Linked DNA regions of Rattus norvegicus. The protein of the gene in region 2 purifies or fractionates together with the protein of the main gene of each other region. This does not show direct contact. Links are inferred from orthologs where the notes say so. Each region holds a gene or a part of one and is shown on either strand. Other genes may lie near its edges.

Region 1 (3,646 bases), on a different chromosome or scaffold from region 2:
ATATATTAAAAAAGTGTGCAAGTACGAAAAGCAAGCACACAAGGTAAGTGATGTGAACCATGGTAATAGTGGAGATGTCTGCACTCACCCAACAGCCTGAATGGCAGCGATCAAGATTTAAAGTGAATAAAAAAATAGGTATGACCAGGCTTTGTACTGTACACACGCCTTTAATCCCAGCACTTGGAAGCAAAGGCAGGCAGATCTCTGTGAGTTTGAGGCTAGACGGGTGTATCTACATGACTACATGAGTTCTAGGGTTCTAGACAGCCAGGGTTTTCGTAGAGAGGCCTTATTAAAACAAAACAAAACCACAAATAAACAACAATAATAATGAAGTAAAATAAAATTAAGTATATGCTATTGCTGTCATAAAAGTACTGTGGAAGAGGATGTAAGAAAAAAGATTAGGTGTCCAAAGTAGTCCACACCAGGAGACACTCCAGTCTAGTTCCAGGATGACCTACTCAAATTACAGAATATGGTGTAGCGTAATACAGATCAGGTTCACCTCCACGATATGCATTAAATAGGCAAAAGTAAGATACATGAAAATTCACATAGATTGGGATTTTGGGGGGCTTTTTTTTTTTAAAGAAAAGGGGTCTGTGTGTGTGTATCTGTGTGTGTGTATATCTGTGTGTGTGTGTGTATCTGTGTGTGTGTATCTGTGTGTGTGTATCTGTGTGTGTGTGTGTGCGTACGCGCGCGTGTGTATTCGCCTGTATGTGCAAAGTATCTGTAGAAGAAATGCACAAGAAAGTACTAACGTGTGTTTTCTCTGAAGAGAACTACCTCTTGCAATAATGAGGGAGATATCATCATATATCTCCAATTTGGGGAGTCTTTTGGATAAAATAAGTGAATAATGTTTTAAGACATAAAAAGTTGCCCATGTTTTCACACTTAAGTTCCATAATTTAACAGAAAATGACTTAAATTTCAAACATACATTGCTCCAACCATCACAATGATCCTGACACAGCTCAACCTTTACAGCACCACCCTCACCCACCATCTTCTGAGCAGGCCCAGAACAGCCTCACATCTCTGAGCATGCCGCTGCATACTCAAGCTTCATACCTGGCAGAGATCGGCGTGTACTGAGGTCAGCTGGTTTGTATTCATCTGCATCTTGTCTATGGCTTGCTTAAGGATGCCAATTCCTCGAAGGGGCTGTCAGAAATGACATCTCTTTCAGATAAGTTCTCAAAGTTGGCAGCACATTGGATCTTATGTTGTCACTTACAAATAAAAAACAACACTAATTGATAGGTTCCTTACATAGCAATAAGATTTCCACACTATGTCAGGAAATGTCTGCGTCTATTCAGTCACAAAACGCTTTGTTTCTTGGAATAGTTAAGATAATTTCAGTATCATACTTTAAATCAAAACTGTTTTCCCTCTGACAAGGACTATCACTAGTAAACCATTGCTTCCTTGAGGCTGGAGAGATGGCTCAGCTGGTGAGCGCTTGCCATGTAAGCACCAGGGTCGGAGTTCAGGCTCCAGACCCATGCACAGCAGATGTGGCAGTATGCACCCAGCATTCCAGGACTGAAGAGCCAGAGAGAGAGAGAGAGATCTCCGGCTGGCTGGCTAGTGGGGCTGGACAACCAAAGACCTTCAAGTTTGTCAGAGCCTCTGTCTCAAAAACAAGACAGAGAGTAAATTAAGACATCCAATGTCAGCCTGTGACCTCCACATACACTGAATGAGCACACATGTGCACACACATGTATACAAAACTAGAGTACTTTCCTAATTGTTAAGCAAAGATAATTTTTCTGTATCATTTACCACAAATTACTGCTGTGGATGACAGTGCTGCATGTTTTCACAGGGGAGTATTAGCCCTAAAGAGTAAATAGCCACTGACTCTATAAACACATGTCATAAGCCAACTGTCGTCTGCCTCCAATTACAAACAACAGCACTCAGCCTCAAGTAAAGCCTAACTCTGAAGATCAGAAGATAAAGCTATAAAATACCTACATAACTTTATAGCTTTGTCTGCTTTTGGGGGAATGGGTTCTTTGATATAGTTTTTCTGTGTAGGCTTAGCTGTCCTGGAACTCACTCTGTAGTCCAGGCTGGCCTCCAACTTATAGAGACCACCTGCCTCTGTCTCCCACGTGCTGGGATTAAAGGTGTGCACCACCACCACCTGGCTAATAGCTTTTTCAATAAAGAGGCTGGTAATAGCTCTCCTCTCAAAACTCAGAAGAGAGACAGTAGTATCTCCCATCCCCCATGACAGGGTATCATGTAGCCCAGTTTAATCTTGAATTAACATGTAGCCAAGGACGACCATGAACTCATAAACCTCCTGTCTCTATCTTCCAAGTGCTGGGATTACTCAGCTTTTTAAAAATATATTACATACATGTATGTATATGTATGTATGTATATACACACACACATATATTCATATATGTATAATCCATATGTGTGTATATGTATACATATATACATATACAAAGAAATGTATATGTATATATATGTTCTGCATGTATGTCTATGCACCACATGAGGGGGCCTGGTGCCCTTAGCCAGTGCTCTTAACCACTGAACCATCTCTTCAGCCCCACAACTTTTAATCAAATTATTTAGCTCCTAAAGAATAGGAAGGCTCTTTCTGCTTCTTCCTCTCACTTCCCAATCAAAAAGAAACAAACTATAATTTGTATCAGCATCACCAAAGGCAAAGTCTAAGAACGTTTGCAGGTGACAGAGAACTGAAGAGCAACATCAGTGTGTCCACCCACGCTCTGCCCTCTGCTTTCTGCAGAGACCATCAACCATCTACCTGGCCACACCTGGCCAGTCTGTGATTTCGTTGAGCATTATCTCAACATCCATTTCCAGGCTCTGCCCATCCTCCCTGTGGGCTACACGAGAACGTAGAAAGCACCCACTGAAGTATTTAGACGAGGAGGACACATCTACAGTTGACTTCCCAACAGTGAGGGAGGGAAGAAACAAGTGCTGTGAAACACTAACACTGGGAGAATCTAAGTCAAGAAAGAGCACATAAGACATCATCATAGGGAAGATCCTTTCAGCGTTCTATAAGGTGAAATCATCTTAATTAAAAAGCTGAAAGGGAAAAACAAGAAATAGCATCATGGTAACACAAAGGCACAGGTAGGTTTTTAGCTTTTTTCTTCCTCCAGTGCTGCGCATGGAACCACATACTTCATACATGCCAAGTAACTGCTCTACCACTGAGCCACACCTCCAGCCCAGACTTGCAGTTTCAAAACAACCAGGCACCTTCTGGGGGCCTCACATGTAGCAAAGGCTGCTCTCAAGGAAGCACACACATTTAAGTACTGAGATGCTGAGTACTGAACCTAGCCTTCTCTAGACTGGTTTGTCAGTCCAACACGCACTGCAGCAAACGTGAACGACTTGACTGTTTCTCACCTGTTTTCTCTCCACGAGTGCGTTTGTTAGCTGATGGCAAAGCCCAGCGACTAGATGCAAAGACAACAAAGACAATGACAAAATATTGAAAATATAAACACTGCAAAGAAAAGTTCATCCAGGAAAAGAGGAAGTATTATTAGCTTACACGTATCTGTTGCGTATCGAATGTGCTCGCCGTTACAAGTACTAATGAAAAGCTGCACCTGTGAGA
Region 2 (4,421 bases):
CTATAAAAGTAAACAAGTTAAATTTTTATAGGAAAGTGACCAAAACCCAAACCACCCCAAAATACTGCAACACAGTTGAGATGAGGCCAGCGGCCACATCAATCTTACCCAGACATTTTTTTTTTCTTTTTTCTTTTTTTCGGAGCTGGGGACCGAACCCAGGGCCTTGCGCTTCCTAGGCAAGCGCTCTACCGCTGAGCTAAATCCCCAACCCAGACACCTTTTATTTTTTTTAAAAGATTTATTTATTTATCATATACAAGTACACTGTAGCTGTCTTCAGACATACCAGAAGAGGGTATCAGATCTCTTTACAGATGGTTGTGAGCCACCACGTGGTTGCTGGGAATTGAACTCAGGACCTCTGGAAGAGCAGTCCATGCTCTTAACCTCTGAGCCATCTCTCCAGCCCCCAGACACCTTTAAAAAAAAAGATTTTCTTATTTATTTTATGTATGTGAGTACACTGTCACTGTCTTCAGACACACCAGAAGAGGGCATCAGATCTCATTACAGATGAGATGCGAGCCACTATGTGGTTTCCGGGAATTGAACTCAGGACCCTTAGGAAAGCAGTCAGTGTTCTTAACCACTGAGCCACCTCTTCAGCCTACCCAGCCACTTTTTTTGACAACTGTTATTTAAAACTCTGTGTGTTGTGTGTGTACGCGCGCGCCTGCCACGGAGCGTTTAGGATCAGAGACAAACTGTGAGAGGCATTTCTTGCTGTCCACCTTGTGAATTTACGGGGTTCGAACTCATGCGGTCAGACTTGACGTCAATCGTACGCAGCCGCTGAGCCATCTCACCAGCCCAGCGGCTCTTATTTTGCACACGAAACGCTCCTCTCTATGGCACCAGCTTGGGTCTATCCCCACACTGATCTCAGTGGCTCCAGGTTCCGAAGTGTCAAATTTGGGCTACTATTTGACCTTTGACTCCGCCCCCAAGGCCGTTAAGAACAAGCAGTGGCTAGATCACTTTAGGTATCCAGGAGTCCCTTTCTTCCCCCCACCCCCACCCCCCGCACCATGCCTCCAGTCGCGGCTGTTCCCAGAGGACGTTGACGCGCGTGAACTCTAACCCGAGGCACGAAACTCCGAGGTCACCACCGGCAGCCCAGAGATTTCGCTGGCCAGTCGCACTTGCCGACGGGCGTCTAGGACAGCCACTTACAGATAAGATCCCGCCCACACACACCAACCAACTGCCGAGGGGCGGGGCTTGAAGCCACAGCCCACGGCCGCTCCCTTACAGTCACTTGCTTACTCCAACTCCCATTGACCGGCGTCTGAGACTACCAATGAGAATGTAGATCACGCCTTCACAAGTGGAACCCGAGCTGTCCAATGTCAGCTCGGGTGCCCACCCAGATCCAAATAGTCCAATCCGCGTTGGTGATTGCGGCGGGTTCGAGGGGTGGGGTTTAAAGCTACAGCCAACTGCCGCGCACGTCGGCTCCGCGAGGGGGCGTGTCCACCGTTGAGACGTGCGACGACGGCGCGGCGCAGGGCGGTAAACAAGATGGCGGCGGCGTGTCGGTCTAGGAAAGGGGAGGCGGCTCACAGCGCCCGCGAGTGAGGCGCGAGCCTCCGAGGGCGGTGTCGGCGTGGAGTTTTCTCTCGCGGACAGCATCTTTCTGCCTGAAGTTCGACTCCCCCCTCGCCGCTCCGGCCTCCTGCCTGTCACGCGGCGGCTAGGCGGCGAGGGGGACGCGCCGCCCCGGGTGGTTTTCTCCCCCCATTGGTCCCCCGAAGATTTCCTGTCCCGACTTCGTGCCCGCGACTTGTGGGTGTCCCGCGTCCGGGTGGAGTTTGCGCACCGAGAAGTCGTGGAACTAAGGGAACTAAGGGGCCGCGCGCGGCGTCGGCGCGGGCCGGACATGGACGGAGCGGACCGTCCTCGACGCGGCCGCCTGGGCCCCTGAGCGCGGGGCCCAAGTGGCGACCATGACCTAGCGGCCCGCGCGCCGCGACGGCGGACCGTCGCCTCCGTCGGAAGCAGCGTCCCCGGGGACCCGAATTAGGGGGACGCGAGGGTTGGGGGGGCTCATTGCTTTTTTTTTTTTTATTCTTATTTTCATTTTTTTTCTCCCTGAGCACCTAGAAGAAAAGGGGAAAATCAAAAGTGAAGAATTGGCGCCCAGGAAACGGACGTGGACCCGGTTGTGGGGACCGGGAGGGTTGTGGAGGTCGTTCCTTCCCCCCCCCCCATTCCTTTTTTTCCCCTTCTTGAACATTTGGAAGAAGCGGGTGGGGGAAATTTGAACTTGAAAAGAATTGGCGCTCCCGAAGGGGACGAGGACAAAGAGTGGGCCAGGATGGACGTGGCTGACCCCCAGCCGTTGGGCCTGTTCCCCGAGGGCGAGCTAATGTCGGTGGGCATGGACACCTTCATCCACCGCATCGACTCCACCGAGGTGATCTACCAGCCGCGCCGCAAGCGCGCCAAGCTCATCGGCAAGTACCTGATGGGGGACCTGCTCGGGGAGGGCTCGTACGGCAAGGTGAAGGAGGTGCTGGACTCCGAGACCTTATGCCGCAGGGCGGTCAAGATCCTCAAGAAGAAAAAGCTGCGCAGGATCCCCAATGGCGAGGCCAACGTCAAGAAGTAGGTGCCAAGGGCCTGGGGCCGACGTGGGTGCTGCTGCCTTGAACTCCTTGGGCAGCCCTTCCTCCACTTTTTGGCTCTTCACTTTCCTCTAACCTTCGTTCCCTTCTCTTTTCCTCCCCTTTCCTTTCACTATCTTATCTACCCAATCTCTCCCTGAGCGTCACCTCGGGGGTCTGTGTGCTGGGGCAGCCGGTAGGACTGTCCTAGCGGGAGGTCGTGTGGCCGACTGTGCCTCCAGCCCTCCTCTTTGGGCCAGGTCCTGGCTCAAGTCAGGCCTGCCTTCTTTGGCGGGCGTTGCCAGGCGGGTGGCTCGTTTGTTTACACAGAGGGAACCGGCAGGGCCAAAAATAATGGTGATTTGGGGTGAAAGGGGGTGGGTAGCCAGCCAGTGCTGGCCCGGGCCCCTGCAATATCCTGCCTAGTTGGCATTGCTGGGCCGTGGGGACTCTTTATCGCCTGCCCGGCTTGGCGGAACTTGGGAAACTTCACCTACCGGCTTCCGAGAAGGGGCCTTATCTTTGGGGCCTGCATTGGCGACGCGCTGTCAAACTGACCTTGCCTGTGGTCCTGTCCCAGGAAAGGCTGTCTGGCAGCTTCTTGCTTTTGCCAGCTGTGCACTGTTCTGAGTGGTACCCACAGGAAGGCAGGCAGATACTCAGGAACCGATGTGTGGACCCAGCGGTGGAGCCAGGCGGGTGGGGGGTGTCCTCAGGATCTGCTTTGCCTTTTTTTTTTTTTTAAATATTTATTTATTTATTTATTTCATGTATGTGTGTACACTGTAGCTGTCTTCAGACACACCAGAGAAGGGCATCAGATCCCATTACAGGTGGTTGTGAGTCACCATGTGGTTGCTGGGATTTGAACTCGGGACCTCTGGAAGAGCAGTCAGTGCTCCTAACCGCTGAGCCATCTCTCCAGCCCGACTTTTTTTTTTTTTTTTTTTTTCCGGAGCTGGGGACGGAACCCAGGGCCTTGTGCTCGCTAGGCAAGCGCTCTACCGCTGAGCTAGATCCCCAGCCCCCCTGCTTTGCCTTCTTTGTAGGAGTGGTCCTAGGTTAGTCTTGCACTGGGGAACCGTGGGGACCCAGCGTCAGGTGTGCCTTCAGTGAGTTCGGAGGCCTGAGCTGGGGAAAACCTGGTTGGAAAATTTGTCTGTAAGATGGAGGTGCCATAGGCTGCTCCTCTCTGGGTGGTGACTGCTGACCTCCCAGGCAAGTGGCCGCTTTGGGGAAGTACAGCAGTGACAGTGTGGGCTTAGAGAGACGCTGGACACAGCCCACTGGACGTCAGTAGGGTGCTATAAGGAGCCTGCACTGTTCCTCAAGCCAGGAGTTGGTCTGGGCAAATGGGTACATGCAGTCGTCATAGTGCTAGAGAGACTGAGGGAGGAACATTGCTTCTGTTTGTAGACCAGCCAGATGCATGGGAAAACTTGGTTTCATGAGGAAAACGGGTTGGTAGGATGCTCAGTAGGTAAGTGCCCCAAAGTCTGGAAGGTGAAAGCAGACCCAGCTCCTACAAGTTTGCTTTGACCTCCATATGTGTGCTGTGGCACACACACACGTACACACACATGGGCAGGAAAGATAAAAGCCAGGAGGAGAAACTGAGGCAAAAGCTTCGGACTGGCAAACTGCCCTGCTCTGAGGTCCTTGAATGGCAGGACACAAAGCCAGGTGTTTCTAGGGGAGTGCTGGTGTTACCCACTGCCTGAGTGACTCGTGCAGTGGGAACCCTAAGGTTGCGGGCACCTGCTGGTGTGCACAGAGCCACAGCATGGAAGGGGCAGCTTGGCGACAGCTGGT

Evidence for each region.
Region 1: the proteins of Stk11 (region 2) and Cops3 purify together in Homo sapiens (affinity purification with mass spectrometry; 5 studies listed by BioGRID and IntAct, with this or other methods). This does not show direct contact. The link is inferred for Rattus norvegicus from reciprocal best matches to the Homo sapiens genes STK11 and COPS3.

What each region holds. Positions count from the first base shown.
Region 1 is NC_086028.1:45,130,929-45,134,574, forward strand, and holds part of Cops3 (COP9 signalosome complex subunit 3), read right to left. Parts: coding exon 3,581-3,646; intron 3,483-3,580; coding exon 3,433-3,482; intron 1,245-3,432; exon of another isoform or gene 1,177-1,244; coding exon 1,084-1,176; intron 1-1,083. UniProt on the Homo sapiens protein: Component of the COP9 signalosome complex (CSN), a complex involved in various cellular and developmental processes.
Region 2 is NC_086025.1:10,239,043-10,243,463, reverse strand, and holds the start of Stk11 (serine/threonine-protein kinase STK11), read left to right. Parts: upstream 1-1,498; 5' UTR 1,499-2,320; coding exon 2,321-2,610; intron 2,611-4,421. UniProt on the Homo sapiens protein: Tumor suppressor serine/threonine-protein kinase that controls the activity of AMP-activated protein kinase (AMPK) family members, thereby playing a role in various processes such as cell metabolism, cell polarity, apoptosis and DNA damage response.